Linked DNA regions of Danio rerio. The protein of the gene in region 2 binds, or shares a complex with, the protein of the main gene of each other region. Links are inferred from orthologs where the notes say so. Each region holds a gene or a part of one and is shown on either strand. Other genes may lie near its edges. The genes, in order: exosc2, exosc1, exosc3, exosc6 and exosc4.

The links.
Region 1: exosc1 (region 2) and exosc2 share a complex: the UniProt entries of both Homo sapiens proteins name them as parts of the RNA exosome core complex. The link is inferred for Danio rerio from reciprocal best matches to the Homo sapiens genes EXOSC1 and EXOSC2.
Region 3: exosc1 (region 2) and exosc3 share a complex: the UniProt entries of both Homo sapiens proteins name them as parts of the RNA exosome core complex. The link is inferred for Danio rerio from reciprocal best matches to the Homo sapiens genes EXOSC1 and EXOSC3.
Region 4: exosc1 (region 2) and exosc6 share a complex: the UniProt entries of both Homo sapiens proteins name them as parts of the RNA exosome core complex. The link is inferred for Danio rerio from reciprocal best matches to the Homo sapiens genes EXOSC1 and EXOSC6.
Region 5: exosc1 (region 2) and exosc4 share a complex: the UniProt entries of both Homo sapiens proteins name them as parts of the RNA exosome core complex. The link is inferred for Danio rerio from reciprocal best matches to the Homo sapiens genes EXOSC1 and EXOSC4.

The regions. Positions count from the first base shown.
Region 1 is NC_133180.1:78,503,599-78,510,302, reverse strand, and holds the start of exosc2 (exosome complex component RRP4), read right to left. Parts: upstream 4,215-6,704; 5' UTR 4,149-4,214; coding exon 4,021-4,148; intron 1,614-4,020; coding exon 1,512-1,613; intron 1,268-1,511; coding exon 1,222-1,267; intron 1,114-1,221; coding exon 1,024-1,113; intron 314-1,023; coding exon 248-313; intron 1-247. Other genes in the region: spra (sepiapterin reductase a), read left to right, coding at 5,012-5,315. UniProt on the Homo sapiens protein: Non-catalytic component of the RNA exosome complex which has 3'->5' exoribonuclease activity and participates in a multitude of cellular RNA processing and degradation events.
Region 2 is NC_133176.1:58,182,475-58,189,304, forward strand, and holds the start of exosc1 (exosome complex component CSL4), read right to left. Parts: upstream 4,694-6,830; 5' UTR 4,681-4,693; coding exon 4,653-4,680; intron 3,363-4,652; coding exon 3,247-3,362; intron 3,145-3,246; coding exon 3,070-3,144; intron 2,129-3,069; coding exon 2,040-2,128; intron 455-2,039; coding exon 421-454; intron 31-420; coding exon 1-30. UniProt on the Homo sapiens protein: Non-catalytic component of the RNA exosome complex which has 3'->5' exoribonuclease activity and participates in a multitude of cellular RNA processing and degradation events.
Region 3 is NC_133189.1:58,543,407-58,550,236, reverse strand, and holds exosc3 (exosome complex component RRP40), read left to right. Parts: upstream 1-2,278; 5' UTR 2,279-2,289; coding exon of another isoform or gene 2,290-2,523; 5' UTR 2,524-3,035; intron 3,036-3,230; 5' UTR 3,231-3,916; coding exon 3,917-4,189; intron 4,190-4,642; coding exon 4,643-4,794; intron 4,795-5,979; coding exon 5,980-6,187; 3' UTR 6,188-6,355; downstream 6,356-6,830. Other genes in the region: tcerg1a (transcription elongation regulator 1a), read right to left, coding at 1,528-1,574. UniProt on the Homo sapiens protein: Non-catalytic component of the RNA exosome complex which has 3'->5' exoribonuclease activity and participates in a multitude of cellular RNA processing and degradation events.
Region 4 is NC_133182.1:29,203,380-29,209,007, forward strand, and holds exosc6 (exosome complex component MTR3), read right to left. Parts: upstream 2,413-5,628; coding exon 1,597-2,412; 3' UTR 1,472-1,596; downstream 1-1,471. Other genes in the region: slc38a8b (putative sodium-coupled neutral amino acid transporter 8), read left to right, coding at 2,156-2,565, 3,339-3,400, 5,406-5,620. UniProt on the Homo sapiens protein: Non-catalytic component of the RNA exosome complex which has 3'->5' exoribonuclease activity and participates in a multitude of cellular RNA processing and degradation events.
Region 5 is NC_133177.1:2,082,363-2,089,169, reverse strand, and holds the start of exosc4 (exosome complex component RRP41), read right to left. Parts: upstream 4,107-6,807; 5' UTR 4,052-4,106; coding exon 3,881-4,051; intron 1,781-3,880; coding exon 1,574-1,780; intron 1-1,573. UniProt on the Homo sapiens protein: Non-catalytic component of the RNA exosome complex which has 3'->5' exoribonuclease activity and participates in a multitude of cellular RNA processing and degradation events.

The DNA.
Region 1 (6,704 bases), on a different chromosome or scaffold from region 2:
TTAATGACTTTTTATTTCCAAAACTCAAATATAAATGTATTTATTAAACAAGCACTAATAAAAAAGGTCATATTTTACAGTCATTTATAATAGGTATTAGCATTGAAAGAAAGCTAACATTTTTATTATATATTTCAGCTTTCTTTCAATGCTGATACCTATTTTAAATGACTGTATTTTTACAGTAAGAACACTGTTTGTATATCCAGGGATGATGAATGTCTGATGCGGTAAATGTGGAGGATACACTGATGAGATCTCCTTCCTGCAGATAATCCCTCATGGCCAGCTCATCCTGCGTGGAACGACGTCTCTGAGAAAAAAACACACACACACACACACACAATAGTAATTGATCTGTTGTGGTGATTCTACAGTTGCTATAATAACAAAACAACTACAGTAATTGATCTATTGTGGTGATTCTACAGTTGCTATGGTAACACCACAATAGTGATTGATCTGTTGTGGTGATTCTACAGTTGCTATGGTAACACAACAACTATAGTAATTGATCTTTTGTGCTGATTCTACAGTTGCTATGGTAACACAACCACAATAGTCATTGATCTGTTGTGGCCATTCTACAGTTGCTATGGTAGCACAACCTCAATAGTAATTGATCTGTTGTGGTGATTCTACAGTTGCTATGGTAACACAAACACAAAAGTAATTGTTCTGTTGTGGTGATTTTACAGTTGCTATGGTAACAAAACAACTACAGTAATTGATCTGTTGTGGTGATTCTACAGTTGCTATGGTAACACAACAACTATAGTAATTGATCTGTTGTGGCCATTCTACAGTTGCTATGGTAACACAACCACAATAGTAATTGCTCTGATGTGGTAATTCTACAGTTGCTATGGTAACACAACAACTATAATAATATAAACAAACAAGCCAACTGCGGGGTATTTATCAGTCCACTATAGTTAATGGTAGAGAGTGCGGGAGCATTCATTAAAGTATTGTAACTGAGTTGTGTGTGAACTGCCCCTTGAATGCGTGTTGCCAGCTCACCAGCTCTCCTCCAGGCAGATTGACCGCCGACAGCAGCAGCACTGAATCCAGACGCGAGTTAGTCTCCACTTTCCATCGCTTCTGCTGCACCTTAACATTTAGAGATGCACATCATCATCATCATCATCATCATCATCATCATCATCATCAACAACAACAACGAGAGATTTTATACATAAACTACTGAACACCACTGACCTCAGTGATTCTGCCCACAACCACATCACCCACCTCTCCGTTATACCTGCAGGAGGAGAACATCACATCTAGAACACAGTATTACCACAGCATTATACATTAGTGAAGTGCAGTGTGCTATACTGTAGTGCACAGGTCTCTAACTCCTGGAGGGCCGCAGCTCTGCACAGTTTTGCTCCAAGCCAATCAAACACAGTTGATCAGGGTTGGGGCACATTGTGCAGAGCTGCGGCCCTCCAGGAATTTAGTTTGAGACCTGTGCTGTGGCGTTAGTGTAAGTCAGTGTGCACCTGGTCTTCAGCGGTTTCACACAGATGAGTTTGTTGACTCGCTCCACCTGTCCTGCCACTGAAGCGGTGAGTCTGTCTTCATCCATGTAGGTGCCGTGACCCCTGAGGACGAGGTGAAGTCAGATGAAAACGGTTTTTATCTTCGCACAATTGGAATTTCACATTCAATAAGACAGTAAAGCAAAATTTAAAGGGCTCTTGTTTCACCCCAGCGATGATGGATTGACCGGCACATTTATATGCTCTTTCTACTAATTAATTAAAGCCTTTGCTTTGGATGTATAATGAATGCATTGATCTAAAATTTAGATAATTAGCGTGCAATCACGCTCATCACTATTGACAATAAAATTTTAGCCTTGATATTTGCTAACAGATTAAAGATTTCAGCTGATTGCTGAAACACAGTCCGGCTTTGTAGGAGCTAGACACATCAGTAATAATATTACAGTTTTTTAGACCTTTTCGATTATGCAGACTATAAACATCACAAGCTATGATTCTATTCCTAGACTGCTATAAAACATTTATTAAGCCATATTAACATTGCTGTTTAAGCTTGACTTTCATGTTTGGCCATTTCTAAATGGATGTGAAAAATACTTTAATAATCACACACAAGTTCTCACCATGAGCTCAGGTTTATTATTTCAGATATAGACACGCAAGAGTGCACGCAAAAAGAGAAAGTTGGGGCACTCGGAAATTAATTAATAGTTAATTTTGTTACAGATTTTTAGTAAAACATTTACACTTCTGCTTTTGACAGATAATGTAAGGATTGTTTTTGTAAATAAAATGGAAACGCATGATCCAGTTCTGAATTTAATATACTCTGATTCCAATTTGACCTTGGAGAAAGTTCGAATCGTCCATGAAGAAAGGTAAATCTCCCAGCAATGATGGATTATCCGTCAAGATTGGTATGCTCTTTCCACAAATTAATTAAAAACCCTTTGCTTTGGATGTATAATGAATGCATTGATCTAATAGACAAGACAAGACATCATCAATGAAACGAGGTGTTCCCAAACCGATAATTGGTGTCCATCACGCTCATCACTGTTGACGATAAATTTATTTTTGATATTTCCTAACAGATTAAAGATAAAGAATCAGTCAGCTGATTGTGGAGACACAGTCCGGCTTTGTAAGAGCTAGACACATCAGTAATAATATTAGACTTGTCTTGGACCTTTTAGATTTTGAGCAATTCCATGCAAATGTCAACCTTGCCATAAAATAAACAAATACATTCTTCACAAAAACACCAAACCCTTTCCCGGTGTTTTGAGTAGGCTTGTATTTTACAGCACTGTTAAAATGTCACATCCATAATGCATAATCGCTCTCATGCAGACTTTATCCTATCATTACAACTCTATGATACTAGTCCCTGACGTTTATAAAGCATGGACTTCTTATGCAGACTGTGAAGTTCTGTTTTGGTGACTTTGTTAGTCAATGCTATTGAAATGTTTTACTGGCACATTAGAGGTTCTGTTTTAACCCATTAACAATCAACGTCTCAGTGGCAGGACGATTAAGTTTAATTCACTATACTGCATTTAAATACTAATCTAATCATGACAAACTATATAATCGCTGGAAAGGCCATTTAAACAAGTTTTAATCCTTAACCCTACAACCTGTGGGAATGTTTGCGGTTGCATTTTTAAAGCATAATATTACAGTCTAAACATAGAGCACTTTTATCAAATAATATATCATTTAAAATCTTTCTAGTATTTATATCTGATGACTGATTTTTCAGAGTTGTGAAGCATTACTTTGCTACAGCAATCCACAATTGAGGTAAAGTGGGTTTTATATTGGCACATTCAGACTTTCTTCTTAATAATACAGTTTCAAAAAAGTAATCTTTACAAATTTTAATAATGAACTCATATCAGCAGCCAATGACTATCAGAGTACAACATTGTTTACAGTCAATTAAATAGTGCTGATGTTGTTTTTAAGTCAAACTACATGCGATTTCAGACCGAATACTCAAAGTACAATACAGGCAACGTGTCACAAGTTATCACCGTTCAAAAATGAACGAACGTGCAAATACAAACCAACTTTACCTCAATCAATACACATGTAAATAATGTATTTTAAAAGTAACGTAACGCGTCACCGTAAAAAGTAACGCAACTAGTTACTTTCCAGAAGAGTCTGTCAGTAAAGTAACTTTCTCCAACACTGAACAAATACACTACATACACTAACTTGAGTTCTCAATCAAGTCCGCTACAGACTGACAGACTGCAGGTCTCAACGAGTTCACTCCACACACACACACACACACACACACACACACACACACACACACACACACACACACACACACACACACACACACACACACACACACACACACACACACACACACACACACACACACACACACACACACACACACACACACACACACACACACACACACACACACACATTTATTCTACAACAGCTCAGTTAATACCAGTTATTAATGTCTGTGTACCTCATGAAGCCCGTGTCGGAGGTGATCACATCTCCAGGCACAACCAGGTGTTTGTCTTCGCGGGAACTCTGTCCTGTTTTCAGGGAAACGTGTTTGTGAACCGCTGGAAGCCGCATCTCCACCGCCATGCTTCAACAACACTATAGCCGGGCAATATGGCGGCGAGCACGGCTCCACTTCATAATAAAAGCCCGACTGTGTTCGTGTTCGGTTTGAGCATCTAATCATCTGAATTTGGTCATTAAATAACGATTTAAGTTCGTGTTATACAATGTGTGAGGTTTTATTTTGTAACGAGAATTAAGAGACTTTTTATATTTAACATTTTAAATGACAATATAGCAAAACTTTAATACATTAAAACATTAAGTTAACATTATATGCTCTAACAAAATAATTTTATACTTTTCAGAACCAATTTGCTTTCTACATTTATTTTTGTTATTCTTTTATTGTGTAAACACAGGTTCTTAAAAGAATGAGATTATATAAATAATCATGTATTATTATGTTTATTATTATTATTATTATTATTATATTTATTATTATATTTGTTACTATTTACACATTTTCATACACCTAAATATCTTTTATGTATTGTTTTATTGTGTGAATTGATCTCGTGGCCTAGATATTTACTGTATCTAGTAAATTGTTTAAATTTGTATATATTTATTAATATAAATTTGTATAGATTTATTGTATATATATTTATCACTGTTCTGATTCTTTAATTATTTCTTGATGTTTTTAGCATTCTTTTAACCCCATTTACAGTATTGTTTGTTATTTTCACTCATTTGTCTATTGTTTTGTTTTATATTTACTCTTTTGTGTATTCCTGGAGTCATAAATTTTCTATTTCACAGTTTATTATTTTATTAATAAACCATAAAGTGGGCGGGGTCTCTCGTGTCTTCCGGAGGCGTGACTAATCGATGCTGAACTCTCCGGTTCTTCGGCAGCTCTTCTCGTCAGTCCTTGGGGAATCATGAGCACGGCTTCGGGATTCGGGAAAGCACTGGTCATCATCACCGGGGCATCCCGGGGCTTCGGCCGAGCTCTGGCTCTGTCGGTGGCGGCACGTGTATCTCCGGGCTCAGTACTGGTGCTCGCGGCTCGGTCGGAGGAGCAGCTGCTGGAGCTGAAGAGCGCGCTGACCCGCGGGGAGACCGGCCTCACCGTCCGCTGCGTCCCGGTGGATTTGGGCTGTGAAGCAGGAGTGGAAAAACTCATTGCCGAGACCAGAGATATCCAGCCGGACATCCAGCACCTGCTGCTCTTCCATAACGCCGGTCAGAGAACACTCAACGTTCCCTTAACGTTAGATTTTGATTCCTGTTAACGTTAGTTTTTTAAAGCCAAAGATAACGTTTTGCGAATTCTTTTTAGATTTAACTTTTTTTCCAACCATAAAACAACTTTCCCAGAACTTCAAGAGGGGACACGTAAAAAAAAAAAACAAAAAAAAAAACATACATAACCTTTATGATTTGATTTGTTTTGTATGTTTGATGTTTGTTTTCATGTAATTCATGAGCTATATTTTGCAGAATTACAGAACTAAATTTGTAAATACAGCATTTATGAAAATTTTAAATTAATCAAGATGTGGAATAATTAGTTAAATATTAAAATAGTCATAAATGATTTACTCAGTAATAATGAGGAACGTTAGATGGCATCAAAACCTCACATTTATTTGAATTTCTGTTCTGCGCGCCTAAATTCTAACGGTCAAAACCTTCATTTAAAAATCAACCGTCGTTTTGTAACGGCCTGACTCACTATAGCTATACTTTCTCGTCTTGTTATCGAATAATTCCATGTAACGTAAAATTTATTTTTTATTATTGAATACCTGACATAAGGTGAGCCTAACGTAACGTGAAACCGCTTGTCTACAGACCAAAGAGAAAGGCATGTCTAAACCTCAGTTCAGTGGTAAGCATTCAATGTATAATATATCCTTTGTTATCTCAATGGTTTGTTGATGTGATTGTTTCGGTTGTTTATGTCTGTGGATACATTTAGTGTTGTATAGAGATTGTTTTGAAATCATTACTTGGTGTGAGGAAACGTAACATCTCTGTAAAGTTAAATGTTACCCCGTGATGAAATAACTTAAACCTTGCACAAGGAAGGACAACAAATGTTCCTAAAGTGCTTGAGTTTTATAAGTGCTGGACTAAGATCTCTTCCATATATATATTTATATATACATCTAAATATATTTCTTTATATATTTTGCCAAAAGAGTAAACCTGTTTCTGCGTTTTTTGTGTGTGTGTGTTTGTATTTTACAGTGCTTTAAAAATACTCAAAAATGTAATTGTCTGTGTTTTCAAACTATTATATTTGATTTACCAAAGTCACATTGCTCATCCGTCACATCCATAATGGAGAGATGTCACATCCATAACAAAGCTTTTTCCTCATAAATGCAAAAATCTAAAACCAAATAAAATCAATCATGGTTGTTCTATAGTGAGCCAACTCTTATCCTTTTGATTGCAGTTTAATTCACAGAATTTCTACAAAGTATGTTGTATACTGCAAACTTGGACTTTTTTTGTCACATCCATAACGCATGTATATTTCCCTAATTTAAAATATAAAATTGGTATTTTTCTGCTCCCACAACTCTGGCCATGTTGTTTTGAAAAATATAAACATATGTTTCA
Region 2 (6,830 bases):
GCCGGGCCTGAAGCTTTTGTACGTCTCCACCTGAGAACAACAACACATTTTCAGAAACACAATACATCGCATTGCATAAGGGTCAAAATATTATAATTAGGATACATTTTTAGCATGACCTTAAGATAGAAGGTTCTATCTAAAAAATAGAGCATTACAGGTTTACATTTTTATAGTTTTAATATATATTTTTAACAATTCTTTTCCATTATCCTTCAAACCACTGGATATTTAAATATAACAATCAAACTGAACATTTTTCTAATATTTAAAACCCATATTTTTTTTCTTGTAAATTTAATGATGCAGACACCAGAATATGTTTTGTCTTTAACCCATATCTTTTTTTTGACTACTCATATTGAGGAATACTTTATATTTAAATATAAATAAAAACATCTATATTTTCCATGAACTCACCTTATCCTTCTCTGTCGCTCTCACATCTTCTCTTCTACAGAATTTAAAACATTAGAGTTGAGCAGATCTGACTTCGTATATTTACACAACAAGTTATTAAAGTCAAATTTCATATACAGTAATCCCTCACTGTAAGGCGGTTCACCTTTCGCGCCGATTTTTTTTATTCCTGCAATTTGACATGCTTTATTTACAGTGAATTGTGTTCTGCCTCCTGATCAGCGCATTGTGTTATGGGTCCTGATTGGCTGTAGACCACTGTCAAATAAGCTCCTCGCTGTCTCGTCTCCTGTACAGTACAAAATGCACTCATTCACTCATTCATTAATTTTCTGCCGCTTTTCCGAGGCCAGGTTGCAGGGGCAGCAGTATTAGGGGAGAACCCCAGATCCAGCTCCTCTGAGGGGATTCCGAGGTGTTCCGATGCCAGCCGAGAGACATAGTCCCTCCAGCATGTCCTGGGTCTTCCCAGAAGTCTCCTCAGTGGGACATGCCTGGAACACCTCCCTAGGTAGGCGTCAAGGAGGCATCCGAAACAGATGCCTGAGCCACCTCAGCTGACTTCTCTCAATGTGGAGGAGCAGCAGCTCTATTCCGAGGTCCTCCTGGGTAACAGAGCTCCTCACCATATCCATAAGAGTGCACCCTGCGAAGGAAACTCATTTCGGCCGCTTGTATCCGAGATCTTGTCCTTTCGGTCATGACCCAATGTTCATGACCATGGGTGAAAGTAGGAACATAGATTGATCGGTTAATCTCCTCTATGAATCGCCACCTTATCGTGGTGGAGTGCCTGAGTGATCCTAAGACTTCTGTTGTCTGGGGCTAATGCTACTGGTAGGATCTCCCAAGGCAAAAAGGTCTTTGGTAACAGGTCAGACTAACTGCAGTTCAAAAACTCCTTATGAGTACAAAAACATTAAGGGCCGTGACGTCGCCGGTATGGCGCAGCCGGGACCCCAGCCTGGAGCCAGGCCTGGGGTTGGGGCTCGTATGCAAGCGCCTGGTGGCCGGGTTTTTTCCCATGGGTTTTAGTCTGAAGGAGCAATGTGGGACCCTCCTCCTGCACCACATGCAGGGGGAGACTTAAGAGGCCGGTGCGTTGTGGAATGGGTGGTGGTAGAAGGTTAAGACCAAGACAACCTGATCGTCAGGCACAGAAACGAGCTCTTAGAATGCATTCAGCTTGCCAAATTTACATAAATCTTCGATCGTTAGCAGTGTGTCTCAGAAGTGCTGTACTTCATGTTTGCAAGTTTTCTCCCCAACAAACCCAATAATATCGACGAAACATTTACCTGTGTTAGCACACAAAAGGCAAAGGAAGATGCTAACCATCTCACAAAAAGTAAAACTTCTGAACTGCTTAAGTATGGTAGAAGTTACGGGAATGTTTAAACAAGAAAGAAAAGTGTGAAAATATTAATGCCTATCTGGAAAAAGGAGTGTCGTGAGGGGTTTCACAGCCTTAAAACATCTAGAATAATTAATAATACAACAATAATACTACTTCTCGGATTTCACCTATTGCAGGTTATTTTTAGAGTGTAACTCCAGTGATTAACGAGGGATCACTGTATATTATAATAGCAGATTTACTGATATGCAAACATCTGTACCTGATTGTGCCTCTGAACCTGTCCTTTAGCGGTGTCGAACCCACATATAAGATGTGCACTTTAGCAAACCTTGGGTTGATACTCGTCACCTGGAAAGGGTGAGGAAAAACATGCATATTCAATACACTTTCAATACATAAATACAGTCATAAATTACAGTTGAACAAAGTACAACACACATGCAGTCGAAACCTTAAAGGAACACTTTACTTTTATTGAAAAGGCTCATTTTATAGTTCTCCAAGAGTTTTACCATTTTTGAATCAATTCAGCCGATCTCCAGAACACGTTTAGTTTAGCTTAGCATAGATCATTAAATCAGATTAGTCCATTAGCATTTCATGCAAAATTGAGTAAGGAGTTTTGATCATTTACCTATTTAAAGCTTGACCCTTTTATAACTGCATCATGTACCAAGACCAACGAAAAATTAAAAGTTGCTATTTTCTAGACCAATTTGGTTATAGGAACTATACTCTCATACTGGTGTATGAACAAAGAAATTTGCCGCTGTACCAATGAGTGAAGCAGGACCAATGATGATGAAAAGCACCTTAAAACAACACCAGCAGGGTAACAGCGATGCATAATATCATTGTTTCTGCTGTATCCATGGTGCAGCAAAGTTTCTTGATTATTACGCCGGAATGAGTGTATAGTCCCTATAACCAAATCAGCCTAAAAAAAGAGCAACATTTCATTTTCTGTGAGTCTTAGTACTTAATGTAACAACAGAAAACTCAACCTTTAAATTGGAATATCATATAAATGTTTAAATAATGTTTGCAGCAACATGCTAATGGTCTAATCCAATTTAATGACTTATGCTAAGCTAAGCTAAAAGAGCTCCAGCCAGACCTGAAGATCAGCTGAATGGATTCAAAAATGGTCAAACTCACTTGTTTAACTTCAGGAGAGCTGTAAAATGAGCTTATTGCCCAAAAACTGTGTTTCTTCAACTTTCGTAATAATCTGTAAATGGCTAACAAAGACACATGTGACAGATTAAGATATATCAAAACCGATATACCTTACAGGTGACGATCGCACCGACGTCAGGCAAAAGTTGCGCTTCTGTCTCTCTAACAACTGAAATCACCGGCAACTAGAAATCAAGTCGGGAGGAAAATTAAGTACTCGGTTATGAAGAAACATGGACTTCTAAGCTGAAATTTAATCTGCATGAGAGCAGCAGAGGTGAACTGACCTCCTCTCCCTCATTCTTCCTCAGCACGTATCCTGCTAGTGAAGCGAAGATGTAGCCGTGCCGCAGATACGTGCCTGTACCAGGAATACAGTCCTCTGTGCTGCAAAGCCTTTCGCCTGCAGGACACACACACACACACACACACGTGAGGCATGCTACAGAAAAATGCATAAATCATGTACAGTACTGCTGTCATAATAGAGAGTCTATAAGCCATGACGAACACAAACACATCCACAGTTTGGCCTCAAGCTGACATGTTAAAATTAGTCTATTAACTGCATAATAATTGTAATAAACTTATAACATAGTGACTTTATGATTAGGACATGAGATTTGGTCTGTTTACTATGAATGCTTATTTCAGCCAAGAAATAAGTATGATAAAGGTACAGTTATGTGAAATATTTCAATATTTCATATTTTTCAAATATTTCCCAGACCATGTTTAATAGACCAAAGGCATTTTCAAAGTATTTCCTTTAATGTTTTCTTCAGTAGTATTTTTATGTGCGTGTGTTAAACATGTATATATTATGTACATGTGAAACATAAAAAACAGTTTTGAAAAGATAGATATTTAAATTTATATACAATTTGTAACACACACACACTTAATGTCAATATATGTCAAATATTATAACTATTTTAAATAATGAAAAATAAAATAATAAATATAATAAAATAATAGAATGATAAAATAATAATAAATAAATGCATTACAACAAAATAGTCCATTAACAAAAACAAGCAGGTTTACATTTCAACTAAAACAAAACCTCTTACACAAAAGCTCTGGCTAAGTGTATATAAGTGTATATACATTTACACTAGTGCATATCTAGCTAGTAAGTGATTACGAGACTTTCCACTCCCGACTAAACGAAGAGTTGCAATTATATTCAGCTACAAATGCAGTCCACAAATAAACATCATAAATCTGGATTTCCTGAAGCAAATCAAGCCTAAAGTGATGAGAGCAGATCGCGTCAGCGGATCGTGTAGAGGCAGAAGAGCGAGTGTTTGAGGGCAGGTATGCATGACAGCCCCGGGCGGTGGGCAGGGCTCGCCAAACGAGTCTTTAAACCCCACAAACTCATCCACAAACGCGATTATTTACAGTGTGCTTGCAATCAGCTAAAATAGCATCTTTATTGGCATATGTTGACTGAAGTCGAAGACATGAGACTTGTTTACAGCGTCATAACAGTCGCGCGTGCTGACGATTCAGCCCTACAGCAGTACACGTGAACGCTTCGAGACGCAAAACTATCCGCAACTTACATCAAAGCTCATAAAATGTCACTATATGCATAAAGGATCAACACATAGCCAAGATATGTCAGCAATAAGACGCCAAACATAAAAGTAATCCCCCAAAAAACATGTGAATAACAGCGACCCACCTGGAACACACAGCTTCATGGGCGACATGTTTTCAAGAAGCAAGATGAGCCTTGTGATTGGATATTAGTCTGACAGGAGCTCGCGCTCTGATTGGTCAGTTCAGCATGTGTGGGTTAAGCAAACCGCCATATTTGTTGTGGCAGTATATTTTTTAGTTTTTTATTAACGTTAGATACATAAATCATGAATACAAATGAAACAATTATACAAATGAGTACATATTTATGGTACACATTAGTTTCTAATACATAAATGTAACAAAAGAGCACGAAAGAGTATTGTGGCAGTAAATGTAAACGTTTTGAGAGAATATACACTGACTGGCCACTTTATTAGGTATACCTTCCTAGTACAGGGTTGGACCCCCTTTTGCCTTCAGAACTGCCTTAATCTTTCCTGGCAGAGACTCAACATGGTACTGGAAATATTCTTCAGAGATTTTGCTCCATATTGACATGGAAGCATCCTGCAGTTGCTGCAGATTTGTCGGCTGCACATCCATGATGCGAATCTCCCTTTCCTCCACACCCCAAAGGTGCTCTATTGGATTGAGTTATGGTGACTGTGGAGGCCATTTGAGTACAGTGAACTCATTGTCATGTTCAAGAAACCAGTCTGAGATGATTCACGCTTTATGACATGGTGTGTTATCCTGCTGGAAGTAGCCATCAGAAGATGGGTACACTGTGGTCATAAGGGATGGACATGGTCAGCAACAATACTCTGTTGGCTGCTGACATGATGTTTTTTTGGTGCTAATGAGCCCAAAGTGTGCCAAGAAAATATCCCCCACACCATCACACCACCACCTCCAGCCTGAACTGTTGATACAAGGCAGGATGGATCCATGCCTTCATGTTGTTGATGCCAAATTCTTACCCGACCATCCAAATGTGGCAGCAGAAATGGAGACTCATCAGACCGTGCGGCGTTTCTCCAATCTTCTATTGTCCAGTTTTGGTGAGCCTGTGTGAATTGTAGCCTCAGTTTCCTGTTCTTAGCTGACAGGAGCGGCACCCGGTGTGGTCTTCTGCTGCTGTAGCCCATCTGCCTCAAGATTGGGCGTGTTGTGTGTTCAGAAATGCTCTTCTGCAGACCTCGGTTGTGACAGGTGCTTATTTGAGTTACTGTTGCCTTTCTAAAAATTAGCCATAGCTTTAATACAACTAACAAAAAAATCACTTAAAAGTCTGTGTGAAATCGAAATTTACAATGTTTATTTTGCTAGCGCACATTGTTATTCTGAGGTTAAACATGTAATCCGTGCACAGTAATCTGCTGAAAAAAGTTTGTTTTGGTAATATTCAAAGTCTGAGCATCTGCATTTGGACTGGTTCATTTTCTGATGACATCAGTTTAAGCTTCAGCCACAATAATCTTAGCCACGCCCCCTTTGTTTGTTTGCTATGAGGGAATGATGTAAAAGCCACGCCCCCTACTTAATATTCATTTTCAGTTTGAAGTAAATTGACATACTGGAATAAAAGTTTCAGCAACTGTTCAGACTTTAAACGCAAAAAAATGTGAAGGTCTTATTATTACTATTATTATTACAATAAGTCATTATGTTTTTTCTTACATCATTGATAAATGTTTGTGTCCTATGATTATAAAAAAAAAAAATGAACAACAAATCAAAAAAAATCACATTAACACCACATCTCTGCTCGCGTAAGCCAATAATATTTATTAGGGATTGCACATTGTAACACACAACTCTCGTCTTTCAGTCAAGCAAAATAACTTACAAGCAAAATACTAAAGGAACAAACAAAAAACAGTGTCATTATTATTCTGGGGCACAATATTCAATATTGAATTATTAAGGTGAACATCTGCGGGCTCAAAATGCATTATTATAATCACACAAACGACAGCAGGACTTCGACATACATCGACATTAACCACATAATCAGTGACTAATCATTTTAATACACAAATCACCAAGCAAAACTCACTTCTCGACTCTAGATGTGGGAGAATTATGGGATATTTCCAGATCATCTCTGTGGGTGTTTCGGAGCAGCGACACAAAAAAACATGAATCACACGAAGACCGGGAAATAAACGCAGCCCACTTGATCATTAATATATGTCGGTGCCTGGCAACAGTCGTCAATGAAATGCCACAGCAGACAAACACAAGTGCCATCTTCTGAAATGTGCAGTGGTGGATT
Region 3 (6,830 bases), on a different chromosome or scaffold from region 2:
GACTTTGCTAAATCAAATAGATTAGTTTGTACTGTAAAATACTTGTCCAAAAAAAAAAAAAAAAACGGTTTCGGTATTTTGAGGAAAACTTAATTTTCTTCATGGCAAGGTTGACATTTGCACGGAATTGCTCGTATATATATATATATATATATATATATATATATATATATATATATATATATATATATATATATATATATATATATATGTATATATATATATATATATATATATATATATATATATATATATATATATATATATATATATATATATATTTGGCATGGGACGACTCAAGGTATACCATGGTTTGGGAAAGTCAAGGTTTTAAAACCATGAAAATTTTCCGCTATCCCGTTCCTAAGGTATAAATAAGATTTCTTTTTTTTTTTTATTAATTTTTGTTTTGTTTTTAAGGACAGCAGTATCTCCAGCAGAAAATATAATCAAAGATTCTGTTTTAAACTGGAAAAATATTAGTGTTTATAAAAAAACAAAGACTGCAGAAGTGAATGATTCATTAAAATGATTTAGCCTGACATGTTTACTGCTCTAAAATATTTTAAATGTTTCCCAAAATAGAATATATATATTAAAAAAGGAAAAAAAAGTTTAGTTTTTTAACCAGAGATTTAAAAAGTAAATATTTCAGAGCAGTGAGCACAATAACATGATACTGTGAAACCGTGATATTTATGTCCAAGGTTATCATACGGTCAGAAACTAATACCAGCCCATGCCTGATACATATCACCATAAACATGACAGGCAGCGAGTCATATCATAGCATCATGTGCAGCTCTACTGTAGCACTGAGGAAAAATTACTTAAATCAAATAATTGTTGTTAGGAAACTGGCAATGTGACAATTAAAAAAAACACAAGTGGCTCAAGGAACATGTCCATGTGTTGAAGGAAATCCTGCATATCCCAAAAGCGTCAACAACTCATTTTCAGCCAAAAGCAAAGTTCCAGCCTTTTCACAGCACATCACCTGCATTAAAACACCGTAACGCGACACTGTAATCCGTTACTTTCGAGAGAAACTCTCCCCAACACTGTTAATAACAGATACACACACACCATAAACACGCTGAAGACGAGCAGAACACACACTTTAACCCCAGATACTGATGATGGAGGAGTGTCTGCACTGACTCCTGCATTGCTGAAGGTGTTCATTACAGTACACCTGAATCTGAAGCACTGACTCCATCATAAACACACTGTCCAGCTGATCTCACAGCCACATCACACCCTCTACACACTGACAGGGTTATTTCTGAGACTCGGTGTGTGTCCTCAAGCTCTTATTCTCGGCGGAAACTGCGATATAAACACAGTGAGGCGACTGCTGCTGTGCTGCTTTCATTGTCCACCCTCCGACGGGCCAGACGAGGCTAAAACCCACTCAAATCTGCCTTATTGGAGACGAAGCCCAGAGGAGTTTCGGGATAAACTAAGGCGAATGATAACCGGGGGTCTGTGTTTATCTGAGAGGGAAAAATAAAGCGAAAACTGCACCTGTTTGCAGCCAGGCCGATGCCTTCTGCCTCTGTGTGCTCCGCCATAACGGAAATGCCACAAAAGTCCCCATTTCCCGCTCAGCGGTTTTCAAACTTCTGAAACATCGTGACTTTTATTTCCAGTATGAATTATTTAACTTAACTGGTAAAAAATATGCATTTTTCGGTATAGTCCAGTAACTTGGCCAACAGTTTTGGTTACCAGAACGTTCCTATTTAGTTAAAGTTATTTTAGTTATAGTTTTAGTTTAATTAGTCCCAAAAATAACCTAAATTAAAGGGGAAGATTTGTGTTAGCTGGAATGTTAGCACGTTCTCCCTCTCTTTATCCAGTTTTTGATTTATTGATTGTTTTTACGATTTAATTATATTTCGTTTTTAAAAACAATCAAAGACTAAATATTAATAAATGGGGTAGATCTCCTTAAAATAAATCCTGCCATCACTTACTCAACCGTTAACGTTACATGTCCCAAACCGGTTTAATTCCATGTCTCAGTTGAACACAAGTTATTTAAGCGTTGGAAACCAGTAACGTTAACTGTTGACTTCAATAGAATTTATTTTCTTATAATGGATGTCGATGGTTACCGGTGTCGAATGATATTAAGAATGCTTTTAGAAAAATCTTTATAATATATTTCTGTTGTGGACATAAAGGGTTGGAGAGGTTTTAATGAGTTAATTTGTATAGGATAAGAGTCCCCGTGCCGGAAGTGCTCAGACACGTGTGTTTGTGTGTGTTTTCCGCTCCTCCATCATGGACTCCTCAGTGCACACTAGTCTGCTGGAGAGGATAGGAGATGTGGTTCTTCCAGGCGATCTGCTGTTCTCCTTCAGTCCTCCTGAAGCCGGAGACGCGAACCCGAAAGCGGACAGGCTGATCTGCGGCCCGGGGCTGCGGCGGAGCGGAGCGGAGATCCGTGTGTGTAGAGCAGGAGTCCTGAAACACAAACAACCCAACATGTACTGGGTCAACTGTCAGCAGAGACGGGTCAGAACACACACACACACAACATGTGCCAGCACACACTATTGTTCAGAAAATTCACTAACACACACTACAGGGCAGAAAACACACAATAACACACGCTACTAGCCATAACACACAACCTAACACACACTACTAGCCAGAACACACAATACCACACACTACTGGGCAGAAAACACACAATAACACACACTACTAGGCAGAACACACAACCTAACACACACTACTAGCCATAACACACAACCTAACACACACTACTGGACAGAACACACAATAACACACACTACTGGGCAGAAAACACACAATAACACACACTACTAGGCAGAACACACAACCTAACACACACTACTAGCCATAACACACAACCTAACACACACTACTGGACAGAACACACAATAACACACACTACTGGGCAGAAAACACTCAATAACACACAATACTGGGCAGAAAACACTCAATAACACACACTACTGGGCAGAACACACAGTAACACACACTACTGGGCAGAACACACAGTAACACACACTACTGGGCAGAAAACACACAATAACACACGCTACTAGGCAGAACACACAACCTAACACACACTACTGGGCAGAACACACAATAACACACACTACTGGGCAGAAAACACTCAATAACACACACTACTGGGCAGAAAACACACATTACTGGGCAGAAAACACTCAATAACACACACTACTGGGCAGAAAACACACATTACTGGGCAGAAAACACACAATAACACACAATACTGGGCAGAACACACACATTACTGGGCAGAAAACACACGTTAACACAATACTGGGCAGAAAACACACTCTAACACACACTACTGGGCAGAAAACAAACAATAACACACACTACTGGGCAGAAAACACAACCTAGAACACACTACTAGGCAAAACACGCAATCACACACACTACTGGAAAAAAAAAAACACACCACTAGGCAGAAAACCCAACCTAACACACACACTACTAGGCAGAAAACACACAATAACACACACTACTGCCAAATTGGTTGACATCGCCCAACCCTACTAAATAAATATATATATATATGAGTGAGAGAGAGAGAGAGAGAGAGAGAGAGAGAGATAGAGAGCTGTATACTACGTTTGGTCTATATAAATCATTTATTTTAGTCATCTTAAAGGGTCAGTTCACTCAAGAATGAATATTTACTCCCTTTCTCAGCGTATTTTTAAACCTTTACATGTTTCTTTTTTTGTCAAACACAAGAGAAGATACTTTGAAGAATGCAGAAAACCGGTAACCATTGACTTCCATAGTAGGAAAAACAAATGGAAGACAATGGCTCCAGGTTTCCAGCATTTTTCTAAATATCTTATTAGTGTTCTGAACGGGTCTGGAACAAGTAAAGGGTGAATAAATGACAGAGTGTTCATGTTTGGGTGAACTGGCCCTTTTTAACACTGCACAGGTCAGGATGTGTCGTGGTGCTCCTCTATCTGTGCTGAAGGTGTTCCGGACTGACCTCTGCTCTTTCCTGCAGTATGTTCCAGCTAAGGGTGAGAGTGTGATCGGCATCGTGACCGCAAAGTCTGGAGACGTCTTCAAAGTGGACGTTGGAGGAAGTGAGCAGGCGTCTCTGTCCTACCTGGCCTTTGAAGGAGCCACCAAGAGGAACAGACCCAACGTGCAGGTACATGATGACAGAGCCACTCCAGCAGCAACAACTCATGATCAACAGTGAAATGACAGATCGACCCACAGGGAAGCAGCAGCAGTCAGTAATGCAGGATGATCTGCTGTCAGGGCTTCACCGTCAATAACTGTGATTATAATGGAAGTGAATGGAGCAACAACAGACAACATAACCAAGCAGAGTCAGTGTGAACACACACACACACACACACACACACACACACACACACACAGTGTGAACAGTGTGTTGATGAGTTATGAAAACTCTCACAGCATTTCCCCATAATGTGTGTCAGACTCAGATTATTCAGCAGAAATCATCACATTTACTGAAACACAGAGAAAGAGGACAAATGAAGACTCGACATCAACCCAGAGTGGAGGAAAACAACCCAGCAAAGTCGTGTTCGGTGTGTATGAGTCCTCCTAACGCTGCTGTTTGCTCCTCCAGGTTGGAGATCTGGTGTTCGGGCAGTTCACCATCGCCAACAAGGACATGGAGCCGGAGCTGGTGTGTATCGACAGCTGCGGGAGAGCCAACGGGATGGGTGTGTTCGGAGGCGACGGGCTGCTCTTTAAAGTGTCGCTGGGACTCGTGCGCAGGTCTGACCTACAGCTACACACACACACACACACACACACACACACACACACACACACACACACACTCAACAGCACAGGCAGCAGGGAAAATAAGAGTTATAGAAACACACTTGTGAAGCGGACGAGTGTTTAAACACAGTGTCTGGTGTATTAGGACAGGTCAAGCCAGCACACACTACTGATCAGAAAACACACACTAACACACACTACTGATCAGAAAACACACACTACTGATCAGAAAACACACACTACTGATCAGAAAACACACACTAACACACACTACTGATCAGAAAACACACACTAACACACACTACTGATCAGAAAACACACACTAACACACACTACTGATCAGAAAACACACTATAACACACACTACTGATCAGAAAACACACACTAACACACACTACTGATCAGAAAACACACACTACTGATCAGAAAACACACACTACTGATCAGAAAACACACACTAACACACACTACTGATCAGAAAACACACACTAACACACACTACTGATCAGAAAACACACACTAACACACACTACTGATCAGAAAACACACACTAACACACACTACTGATCAGAAAACACACACTAGTGATCAGAAAACGCACACTAACACACACTACTGATCAGAAAACACACACTACTGATCAGAAAACACACACTAACACACACTACTGATCAGAAAACACACACTAACACACACTACTAATCAGAAAACACACACTACTGATCAGAAAATGCACACTAACACACACTACTGATCAGAAAACACACACTACTGATCAGAAAATGCACACTAACACACACTACTGATCAGAAAACACACACTACTGATCAGAAAACGCACACCAACACACAGTACTGATTAGAAAACACACACCTGTGTGGAGCACACTTATGCATCATACTGTTAGGTGTAGCAGTGTGTGTGTTACTATAGAGATGGGTCTTTACTCTAGTGTTGAGCGGAGAGAGTGTGTCTGAGTCTCGGACATTATCAGGAAGGCTATACCTGAGTTTAGGAGCCATAAATGAGAAGACTCGATCTCCTTTAGTGGACTCTGCTATTGTCGTTACTAGCAAAAGCCCTGAGTTTAGAGAAGTGAACATGTAAATGTGCAGTTATTAGTGATGATCGAGCGCTTGTGTGTGTGTGTGTGTGTGTGTGTGTATGTGTGTGTAGGCTGCTGGCTCCACAAAGTGATCTGGTTTCGGATCTGGAGAAGATGTTCCCCTGTGAGATGGTGGTGGGCATGAACGGCAGAGTGTGGGTGAAGGCCAGAACCGTCCAACACACACTGATCCTGAGCAACCTGCTGGAGGCCAGCGAGAACATGAGCACCGCGCAGAGACACACACTGTTCAGCAGAGTGGCGGACGGAGGAATATAACACACACACACACTGTTCAGGAGGCCTGTCGAGGGGAATAACACACATAACTAGAGCTGTGGTAAAAACTGTCGTCTCTCAGAGCTCCACTGATTCTGATATTTCTATTTGTCTGCTTTTTTTGTACAAGGAAGTTTTTGTATGAAAATTAAACCAGCTGAATCAGCCGACCTGTGTGTGTTGTTGTTGTTGTTTATTTAGTCAGTTATAAATGTTTTTTTTGTTAAATATAAAATAAGATACTTTGAAGAATGTTAAAAAAATTAGTAATGTCTAAAATAAAAATGACCGAAAGTGTTGTTGTGGTCCAGCAGGAGGCGCTGCTGTGGTAAACACCATCTGCTCTACTGTAGATGCAGGAAATGAGTTCAGATGTTTGGACGGTGGCTGTATAAGCAGCGTCATGTATATGAGTGATTGAGGAATATACTTCCTCTTGTGAGAGTGCGAGAGATCATTTACTGATGCAACCTGTTAGTTCAACCCAGTTTATTTCTGTTGTGAACAAGAATAACAACAGTGCATAAACCATGATTTGTCTCAATAGAGGTGTAGCTTTCATTGTTTATTTTTCCAGGGAAAGCAAGAGTGTCCTGGATAAATAAACAACAGAAAATAATTCATTACATTTATAAACCATATA
Region 4 (5,628 bases), on a different chromosome or scaffold from region 2:
TTTGTCACTGTTTTGGAGCACACTAGATTACAGATATCATTAAGACTAACATACCGATAGTAACATCTAAACCTTTTTTTTTTTATTACTGATTCATTTTCAGTTCTTTAAACAGGATTCCCACACTTCCACAAACAGCAAATTCAAAGACTTTAAAGTACTTTTTAAAGCACCATTAATTTTAAATAAATCGCTGTTGTAAATCATACACCAACTGTACTTAGTATTTCACTTAGACTTGTTGTTAGATATTTATGCTTAAATGTAGTAATTTTCAAAAATGAATCGTTTTTAACAGTCATGTTTTTTTTTAACAAATCAAATCATTATGTGACAATAAAAGTGATTTGATTTGGATGTTGAAAAAAACTTGAATGTGCATTAATTTGTCAGTTTTATTGTGCAATATTGAAATGAAAGAATTTAAATTTCTCAGTGTTTTGTTCTGTTTTGAATTTATTTGTCTGAAATTCAAGTACTTTTAGGAAGCGTGGTAACCCTGTTTAAAGGGGCAGTTACCTCATAAATAAAAAAAGTGCTGGTTGCTCATACTTGGGTTATCCAAGAAGTAGGTGTCTACTTAATTAAAGATGTCCTATGGTGATTCAAATAATAGTTCTAGTCACGGCCACCAACACAGAGTCTGTGCATCTTGCAGAGATTAAGGTAATATTCTTATAACATTTACTTTCTAGCACAGAACAGTTGATTCATTTCATAGAAACCCAAAGAACCACGGGTATTAACTTGTTTTGCCTGTGTTTTTCAGACTATGAAAGTGCTGCAAGCTACTGACTTGCATTTTACGACTGACCATGGGCAATGGCTTCATCTAAATATCTTAAATATTCTACTAAAGGAAAAAGCCATCTAGACCAGAGATGCCCAAACTACGGCCTGCCATCCTATCTGAGAAGTGAGGGAGAATGATGAAAAGGTTGGTGCCATGCCGCGCGCTTGTCATTTCTAATTTTAATGTAACCTTTTGTTTGTTCATTTAATTGTTGGGTTGCAAAAAAAGCAACTGAAATTAAAAGTTTCACTTAAATGTTGTGCATGAATCACATTTAAAAAAAAAAAAAGTAAGAGTCCTTGATGAGCAAATCAAGTGTCCTGAATATATTCAGCAGTGAACATTATTGTTATAAAGAGGATTGTTTTTTTATTGTAAGATGTTCATTATAAAATGCAAAAAAGATATAATTATTAATGATTTCAGTATTCTTTCAATTTATTTTAAATATTAATAAATAAGGTAATTACCATGGCAACTGTAATGTAATACTTTGGTTTATTTAACTTCAGCTCACCACCTATAATCAACTTTTTTGGCCCCTCATAAGAAAAAGTTTGGGCACCCCTGATCTACACCATGGATGGCATTGAGGGTGCGACAGGAGATTTTCGTTTAGGGGGAAATAATCTGAATACAAAATCAGCAACACCACTGAAATGAACAAATACAAGATCATAGAGGAGATAAAACTGCAGAGGAGTTTATTTAGTTGGTTCGACATTATTACACATTTAAATGTACAAAATTTCAACAATTGTAATCATTTTAACTGTTCTCAAAAAGAAGCGCCAAACAAAAGTCTATTTCTCAGGCGGAGGCGCTTTCTTCTTGACAGCCCGCGTCAGCGCTTGTTGAACCACCGGGTAGAGTTTATGACAGCCGTCCATGCAGGTTCTCATAGCCTCGGTCAGAGTGTCCTCCCGCATCTCCCCGTCCGCATTCAGGCCAGACACCTGATTCAGATTGGGAAGCAGAGCCAAGGTGACGCACCCCTGGTTGTCTCCGTAGCCCTCCTGCCAGCTCCCGCACTCCTCGGCGTATGACGGGTCAACGAGACACGCGTTTCCGCTCTGCCGCAGCGTGCAACCCAAAACAATGTCGTACATCTCGATACCGGCGTCCGCCAGGGCCATCGAAGCGCAGGTCACCGCGTGCGCCAGAACCGAGCCGTCATTCTCCAAAACCATGACATTCACGTCAATCTGAGAGCGCGGGTATCTGTGTAGGCAAACTCCCGGCCGCAAGCTCTCCATCAGAGTGGCGGACAGGTCTCTCTCCTCGCTGCCCTGGATCCAGGCTCCCCGTTTCACGCAGGAAAACGGCGCGAGCCTGAAGTCGCAAACCAGCCGACCGGTTTTCATGTCCGTTTCGTCCCTTCGTTCCGTTTCCTTCGGCCCGTACACCGAGCAGATGATCTTGGTGTTTCCAGCCTCGATGTACGCGGAGCCTTTCGCCTGGCTGACTAGCCCGCAGCGCGCAAACACCGGCCGCACATCTCCGTTCCCGCGGACGCCCTGCCTGCTGCTGGGGGCTTTAGGGGCTTTGTCCGGGGACAGAAAGAGCAACGGGGACTGCGACTCTTCCGGTCCACGAATACGTTTTGTGTCAACCGGCATTTTTAATAAACCCACGTGTTTACGAGAGCATAGCTTACTTTGCAGCGGTGAAACTACTCAGTCTTCCTCGAGGAATCAAATGCTTCGGGATGCTGCAATCAAATGCTGTTTGCGCGCTGCTGCCCTCTGCCGGATAGGGATAACGTGGCAAATGTGCTGTGGCAAAGACATTATGCTTTGTTAGATGTGATGTGCATGTTTTAAAGTCAGGAATGAAATAGTTCATTTGACAGACGTAATGTAGACCTAGTTTAGCCATTTTTCAACACGTTGGATATTACTATTTTGCTGCAGTGTAGATAGTCGAACACTGATGTGACTTGCAGTCTGCAACCATAGCTCAATACACGGTGCTGTTTGTATTATTACTTTTGATAGGCCTGAAGTATGCAGAGAAACATCCTTCACACCATTAATAATGTAAATACCAACTGTTGAAATAATGTGGACATTTTACAATAGCAGCAACACAACGAACAGTCATTTCCCATTGTCAGACAGTCAAGACAGATAATTAAGTTGGACAGAAGACATTTGCCCAATACAGAATCAAAATGATAGCAGTTACACGATACAGCATATAGAAGCAACATAGCAGCACAAATTAACAAACACACACACACACACACACACACACACACACACACACACACACACCATTACACTACTAGCTGGCTAAACTGAAGATGCGAGACAGGATGGATCCATGCATTAATGTTGTTTAGATCAAAAATCTGACTCCACAAAAGTTGTAGCAGAAATCAAGACTCACCTAATCAGTTTTTCAAGCTTCCTTTGTCCAATTTCGGTAAACCATGTTAGTGTTAGGTTAAGTTTGCTGTTTTGCTGACAGGAGTAGCATCATGTTCTCTTCTGCTGCTGTAGCTCATCTGCTTCAAGGTTTGACATGTTGTGTATTCATTCAGAGATGGTCTGCATATCTTGCCTGAAGAGAGTTATTTGACTGTTGCCTTTCAGCTCAAAACAGGTAAATGTCCTCTGACTTCTGCCATCAACAATGCATCACATCCCTTTCCCTCAAAGTCGGCATGACTAAATGCATTGAGTTTTCTACTGTATGTAAATAGCTCGTTTAATTTTTGAGTGGCAGTTGAGTATATACAGTGCTCAGCATAATTGAGTACAGCCCAATTTGAAAATTTGTAATTTTATCCATTTCTCAGTGAATATAGGCAATGAATCCTGGTGCTTTTAAACAAAACAGATTTAATAAACAGAAATATGTATTAAAATAATATATTAGTCACAAAACATATTTAGAAGTTAAAATATTATACAATTAAATTCAAGTGAAACATTAAAAAATTAAATTACAACCTACACAATTTCAACAAAATTTATTTATTTTTTGCTTCTCTTGATTTTTCCTCTTTTTAAAATTTGTATTTAATATTTTTCTGTATCATAAAAAATTTGTTATTTTGTTGGATAGGCTTCAGAACTGACTAATCTATTGTATATGCACAAATATAATATTGTACAGCTTCCTATTACAAATATGAATTTAAAAGAGAGATTTGTGAGGGGTGTACTTATATAAGCTGAGCACTGTAGGTTTAGGCTAATTACAATTGTACAGTCCATGGGCCTCTCTAGCTGGATCTTATAAAAATACTTAATCACAATGAGTGAAACTCATGAAACTTGGCTATATGCAGGGGCGTCGCCAGGGGGAAAAGGTTAGAACGATTAAGAACTATGCAGGGAAGATGCACTCTTTTTGGACCCCCAGAGTTACTATTTGGGGGCCCAATCAAACTGGCAACAAAAAACACCCCAAGCACCCCCATATGTGTGTTTTCTTTTTGGCTTAGTCCCTATATCAATTCAGGGTTGCCACAGCGCAAAAAGGCCAAGTCACTTCATTATTCCGGGGTCGCCACAGTGGAATGAACTGCCAACTTATTCAGTGTATGTTTTATGCAGCGGATGTCCTTCTAGCTGCAACCCATTACTGTGAAACAATGTCCCCCAATGTCCACCACTACGCTCTTCAGTTCGCGACAACACCACATCCGCCACCAATACCAATACATTTAATAAAATAGATTGTATAAATATTGCACAGCATCATAAAGCATGGTTTTCCCAGAGATGGGTTGCGGCTGGAAGGGCATCCGCTGCGTAAAAACCTGCTGGATAAGTTGGCGGTTCACTCCACTGTGGCGACTCCAGACTAATAAAGCGACTAAGCTGACAAGAAAATGAATGAATGAATCAAGCATGGTTTAACATTACAGCAAGTACTTAAAAGTTCAGTATAGGCTAAAGGGTCTAAGAGTTGAGAAGGCCAAATTATTGACCCTTCCATCTATTTTTTAAGACTTCATATTCCTAAATTAATATTAGTTTATAATGCAAACTGTATGCATATTGTATGAATTAAGTGATAAAAGTTCTATTTATCCGTACTCTAAAATTTGAGAAATGCCATAAAAAAGCAAGCTGAAAATTCACAAACAACTTCAGTAATCGAGAGAGACACGTGCCTCGAGTGAGCTCTTCAAACGAGAGTTTGCTCAAAGGGTTCGAAGAGGGTCGTAAAACTAATTAAATTCAGCCACAGCGTTTCACGTCCTTACAAAAATATCCCCGTCCTGCCGTGAATTCCTGCAGTTCTAGACAAATTCGCCACAGAAGCAGCCGCTCCTCTGTCAAATCAAGACAATTCCTCCTAACATGCAACTTCAGAGAAGCAATCATTCTGACTCGGAACCAACCGTTACAAGCGCTAGCAAGTCTGTACAATATTTCACACCTTGCGATGACATTTTAAGGGATCTTACTTGAGACAATCCTGCTATACGATTCAGAACAGTGTTTTATACCAGACAAGTGCTGATGCGTATGACACAGGCCTGAAGAGTTCCGTTATTGCCAGAAGGTTCTCACATTGGTTTCGTCCAAGAACACAGCGGGACTTTAGAATCGTAATACTTTTCCATTAAGTATATTTTAATCACATTTTTTAGGTCTTGAGGCGCTGAGGATGGAGGAACTGGCCCGGGAGAGTATACGCAGCATCAGCCTGCTCTCAAAACCTGCGCGGGGTTCGGACGTCCCACGACTCGGCTCATTTGGGGCCATTTTCATCATGCTTAAATCTGCCCTCGGAGCGGGACTGCTCAACTTTCCGTGGGCTTTTGAGAAGGCTGGCGGCGTGAACACTGCGATCAGCGTGGAGATGGTGCGTGT
Region 5 (6,807 bases), on a different chromosome or scaffold from region 2:
GAATAATTGGGTGTGTGGATGGATGGGTAGTTAGGTGGATGAATGCAGGATGCATGTATGATGGATAGTTGGGTGGGTCCATGGATGGAGTTGAGTGGGTGGTTGGATGTATAGTTGGGTGGTTGGATGTATAGTTGGGTGGGTGCATGAATGGAGTTGGATGGGTGAATGGATAGTTGGGTGGGTGTATGGATGGATAGTTGGGTGGATGGATGCAGAGATGGATGGATGGATGGATGGGTAGTTGAATGGATAGTTGGGTGGATAGATGGATGGATAGTTGGGTGGGTGCATGGATGGATAGTTGGGTGGGTGCACAAATGAATTTGGGTTGGTGGATAGTTGGATAGTTGGGTGCATGAATAGAGTTAGGTGGGTGGATGGATGAATAATTGGGTGCGTGGATGGATGGATAGATGGATAGTTGGGTATGTGGATGGATAGGAAGGTGGGTGTATGCTGGATGGAAAGATAGTTGGATGGGTGCATGGATGGAGTTAGGTGGTTGGTGGGATGGAAAGTTGGTGGTTGGATGGATGAATAGTCGGATGGATGATGGATAGTCAGATGGAGGATGGAAAGTCGGATGGATGAATAGTTGGGTGGGTGCATGAATGGAGTTGGGTGGGTAGACGGATGGATAACTGGGTGCGTGGATGGATAGTTGGGTGGATGGATAGATAGATGGATAGTTGGGTACGTGGATGGATGGGTAGGTGGGTGTATGCTGGATGAATGAATAGTTGGGGAATGCATAGATGGATGGACTGTTGGGTGGGTAAATGCATGGATGGATAATTAATTGGGTGGATGAATGGTTGGATCGATAGTTGGGTGGGTGGATGAGTTGATTGACAGTGGGGTGTATACATGGATGGATGGATATTTATGTGGATGCATGGACAGTTGGGTGGATGAATGGTTGGATCGACTGTTGGGTGGATGGATGCATGAATGGATTGTTGGGTGGGTGGATGGACTGTTGGGTGGGTAGATGAAGGGTAGGATTGATAGCTTGGTGATTTTATGGTTGGGTGGGTGGATGGATGAATGGATAGATAGTTGGGCGGATGCATGAAGGGATGGATAACTGGGTGGATGCATGGATTGATGGCTGAATAAATGCATGGATTGATAGTGGTGTGGGTGGATGGATGAATTTCCAGATAGAATCCAGGGAGGATGTATGGTTGGACATATGACCAACTGAGCAGATGGATGAGTGGATGAACAGATGAAGGCTTGGACGGATGTGCTTGAATGATGATGGACGGATCGATTCATGCATGGATCACTGGATGTTAAGATGTGTACAAATATGTGAATTAACTTATGCATGGATGGATGCACAGATGGATGCATGTGTGGATGATTTGGTATACGTTTTTAAAAACATCCAAAGTGCACTCAGTATCAATATACAATATGATTTACGGTGATGGATGAATGAAAGCACAGATGCATGGGGGCATTTAAGAATAGATCAACGACTGATGCAGAGATTGGTGGATGCAAAATTGGGCAGGTGAGTGGATGGATGATAAACGGCATGAACGTAAAGAAGTCCATGTACCTTGACGTAGATGTCGATTTGTGAGCGTGGGTAGAGCTCAGTGAGCACCGCAGCCTCAAAGGTCTGTTTGAGGTGGAGGCTCATCTCGCTGGACTTCCGGTCTCCGTGTGGACGTCTCTTCCTCTCCGCCGTGCTGAACGTGGCCATGCTGTACTGACAGTTGATGATGGCGCGATCATGCAAGGATTTACTGCGAGAGCCTCGAATCTACAGGGACAAAGATGAACTCCAACATGTTATTCAGTTAAACGATGATAAAATATTGGATGTTACACATAACCGACACGTTGGACAACGTTACTGCAGAGATTCTGGCCTGAGTGTTTTGTAATAATTATTGTCTATTATTCACAGCACCATTTTAATCAATTATATTAGACAGTTTAACTAATTAAGAATTATATTATTATATTGAATCCACGAATACTTAAAAACATACGGAAATGTGTTGTTCTTGTTTTAATTTATTTTAAAAATAATAACAAATGAGATCCCACTGACATTCTGACCACTGACAGAGAAAATATTCCCAGTTTCATATATAGTCCTGCTGAAAAATCCAGCTTGAACCAGCCTAGGATAAAGTGCTAATAATTTTGACTTCAACTGATAATCGTTTTGAATAATCGTGATTACAATTATGACCAAAATAATCGTGATTATGATTTTTTCCAAAATCGAGCAGCCCTAGCTAAGACCAGGCTGGAAATGGCTGGAAGTGGCCAAAAACCCACTAAAACCAGCCTGGTCGACCAGTTAAATCCAGCCAACCATCCTAGGCTGGTTTAAGCTGGATTTTTCAGCAGGGTATACAGTTATTGGTTAAATACATCATAATACATTCTGATGATGTCTGTGAGATTTATGTGTTTTTTGCAATGACTGTAAAAAATATGGACGACGCGACAGCCCTTTTTCCCATTGAACGCCTTGAGGGCAAAACGCCTGCTTGACGGGCACAAACTGTCGCAAAAGACTGCTGAAATTGGAGCCAGACATGCGCAGAAGGACTGTCTGATGGAGCCAGAGGAGGAGCCGCGAAAATGAGCGGAGTCGAGCTTCCAACCAAACGCTTTATGTAAAATCAACCACGCCCCCCGAACTGCTCAGCGTGCGTTTGCTGTCATATCAACACAAATGGATGTAATAACGTTAACAAATATGAGGGTTTTATATATTCAATCGCGCCAGCTCCAGGCCGCAACACATAACTTACTCGCGGCGTCGCGGGCTGATTCCGGCTCACATGCGGCAGCGCCGGCTCGCTCGGCCGCCGCATCTGGCTCGATTGACTCGGGCTGGAATTGGGTAGTGAGTCCAGGCATCCGGAGTAGGTCCAGCAGAGGTAACATTAGTCAGTCTGAGCTCTAAGAGATAAGTCTCCGGCAGGCGAGAATCTAGCCGGAACTGTGTTTTGCTATCTGGGTGGCTAGGCGTGTATCAGCAAACTAATAAAGCCCGAAAAAAGCCCTGAACTTAGCGAATAAACAGTGTTCCACCAGGATCATGTATGTCAGAAACTGTAGTTTACTGCTGAACTCATTTTGTCACGGTAAAATAACACAGAAATCGAATAATAACATTTCAGTCTACTTCAGTCTCCTGCCGAAGCTCAGACGCGCTGCTTTGAGAAACTGTCAATCACAGCTGTCAATCACGATGACACGCCCAGCATTAAATTACTGCTAAAAACAAACTGTTTACAAAAATGAGGATCTGCACCTATTTCAGCACAATAACCAGTGCCTTAATCGACCAGAACTATCTTTCGGGACATTTTATTGCAAGTGTAATATTTTTTTTTTATTTGGGCTCAAGTCTCCTTCATTAACACGGAGGAGGCGGGCTTTATGACTTGTACTGCAGCCAGCCCCCAGGGGGCGATCTAACGGCCGAAACCTTCACTCAAAGGTAGGCTTGCGGCACACTTGGTTTTTTGTGTTACACTGTAAATTTTTTATACACGAAAAATAAGTTTATACAAACAATACCTATTTTTAATACTTTCCTTGTTGAAATTTCGTACAATATTGAATCTCTTAAGCTTATTAATAATAATAAGTTTCTTAAAGCTTATGACAATCTTTTTTCTTGATTGATGCTGTGTTTTTTATTTCTCTCTCTCCTTTCTTATTTTTTGTTATTGTATTTTTTCTTCAATGCAGTGATTTTATTATTCTTGTAACGTTATTCAATAAAAAAAGAGATTTATGTGTGTCGCATTTTATTATTAGCATGTCCTCATAATTCACCATATCATTGTAATACCTGTAACGTTATCATACCCAAGACATCACAAACACACACCTCATGTGGCCCATACACCACGGCCAGAGCTTTAGTGTTGCCCTGCTCCAGATAAGCAGACCCGTCGGCCTGCGCGAACACACTCATGCGGGCCTGCACCTTCCGCAGCTCGGTCGCTTTCCGTCCGTCAAGTCGGTAACCCTGATCCGACAGCAGCTCCAGACCCGCCATATCTCTCCGCTTCTTAACTGAAAACACGCGTGTGTGTGATGAACTTCTTCTTGTTGTTCCGCACAGGTCTTCTTCTGCTGTGGATTTTGCTTTCCTTGTGTATCTTCTACCGCCATCTGCTGGATTAATTTGAGTTCTCACTAATGCGAGTAATCCTCATACTGTATTTTAGGTTGTTCTCTAGATGGCAGAGTTAGCTTACTTATGTTAAACCCAATCTTTGAATATTTGTAGCTTCTTATTGTTGTTTTAAAGCACATTAAGACTAACATATTCACACTAACACCTTTAATAGTGTACATGCAGCAGGACTTTTAATTTTTAGTAACCCAGTACAAGCGCTTCCAATGAACTGCTGTTACAAAATCGCAGCGTTTTAGATCTGTTTTCCTTTAAAAAATCAATTATAATGATTTACAATGTAAATTGGGTCTCAGAATTAACAAGAAACAATGCATTAAAATAACATTGTTCTGTAGTCTTTATAGGGACTTTTATTTTACTTCAGGATTTATAATGGAGTTTCTGCGCTCGCCTGCTGCTCAAGACAGTGTTTGATTTGTCAGCTTTTCATCTTATTTTAGGCTTCAACAACTAAATGAATGCTTAAATATGTTTAACCAGTTATATTTTAATGACATTACAACATCGATGCTGTAAAAGGAACTGTATGAAATAAAAAATAGTCACATTAACATTTCACCAGAAGTTTATCGGTAGCCGAAAACACTAGCTGTGCATTATAGCCTATTTTGATTTTACAGGGACTTTAATACAGCAGTTTCCCTCATAGAATCATCATTCTCCAGTCTTAATCAGCACGGTGGTATGAATAAATCAGCACAGAATTCAATAAAAAGAGAAAAGGTAGATTTTTCCTGTACGGCACAAATCAATGTGGCCCAAAATATAGGAAAGTTGGCAACTCTAGAGCGAGTGTCAGCCCTCATTTCTTCTCAAAGGTGTAAAACCAGACTCTGGTCAATAAAAGCCTGTATTGAGAGTGATATGGATGATACGTTTCACTGGGAAAGTTCCCACCAAACCTGTTTTCACTAGACAGCAGCTGTGAGAATCATGTGCATGAAATAAACATCCAACATAGGCTCATTCTGAAAACGTAGCCCTGTATACACTTCTGGAGATCGCAAATTATATAGCCAGCAGAGGGGGGTAGTAACAAATTACATTTACTTCATTACATTTAATTCAGTAAAATTGTTGGGTACTTTTTGAGAACATTTAAAAATTTTTACTTTTACTCTTACTCAAGTAAATTATAAGAGAGAAATCATTATGCCGTGTTTACACCAGACGCGGAATGCGCGGATAAATTGCGCTATTTGCGTGTAAATAGCCGCGTGAACATTTGAGTTTACTCGCTTCATTCGCGCGTCAAATCCGCTTCATTCGCATGTCAAATTCAATTCAACAGACGCGGATTCCCGTGATGGGCAGGGCTTCTTTCTGCCCGGTGACTAGCTTCATAGCTAAATGGCTAACATAGATTGTATGAAGAAAATAACAGTGTTTATGTGTTTTATGAAGACTGAAAAACAGCGTCGATACGTTTCTGAGTCCACTAGTTTCTTTCAGACGTGCATCCAGTTCTGTGAGCTCATAAACTTCTCCAGAAACTGAACCTGGATGACGGAGGCTTTCAGCGGTGCTTCTGACTGAGCCCAGCCCAATTTGATGACTTTTTGTCGGTGTCTGATTGGTTAACGCGGCGCGAATGTCCGCTGAAGCTCAGATTTTCGAACTCGAGTGATTCGCGCAAAACGTGCGCCAAGCGCGTCTAATGCACAAAACGCTCAAATTGCAGCACGCCATTCGCGCGTATCGTGCCATTCGCGCAATTCGCGTCATTCGCGCCGCACCTTTCGCACGTATCGCGCTGCAGGATGTCTATTGGTGCGTTTGTATTTACTTAACATGCAAATCACTCGCGCTTGATACGTGTTCGGCGTCTGGTGTGAACGCAGCATCACTCTTACTTCGCTACATTTGGCGGCGTTCCTCCGCTACTGTCAAATGATAATGAATATAATTGATATGACTTCTTAGCAAATATCACGAGGCGCCGCATTGGAGAGGTTGTGTGGCGAGAGGTTGCTGTAGAGATGCGTCTCCCGCTTCCTGTTGCGCGCGCCAGCCTATATTGGAATTATTGGTTGCAATGGCTAAAGGCGAGAAAGACGTGTGAGTTGGTTTATACTTTGGTCACGCCATGACCATCTGTGAGTTTCAAGAAGGATGGTCACGCTGTCTGTGAAGACTAAGTCACCCGTGACCCCAGATTAATAAAGGGACTAAGCCGAAAAGAAAATGAGTTTACTCAATTTTTAAAGTCAACTAACAGCTTGAAAAGCAATGGGTGTACTCACTTTTTTTTTTTTTTAAAGTAAATTCAACTCATTGCTTTTCACAGTGTGAATGAACAACCCTTTCTGCTTTCATCAGACATTACCTATGTTTCCATCAACCTATTTTTATGCACATTTTGGTATTTATTTTTTCTGGAAACGCCCACATGCGCATACATTTAGAAAACAAGCATAATAAATGAATGTGCAGGATTAGAGCATGCAAAATCACTTTATAAGGGGTTTAAATGAAGTTGTGTGTTAACAGTGTGTGACAATAACCAGCTTAAAATAGTAAAAATGTAATAATCTCAGAAACGGGTGCCATTGTGTAAATAACCAAAGACTAAACAAAAATTTATTGTGTAAATGAGGAAAAAAGGCCCCTAC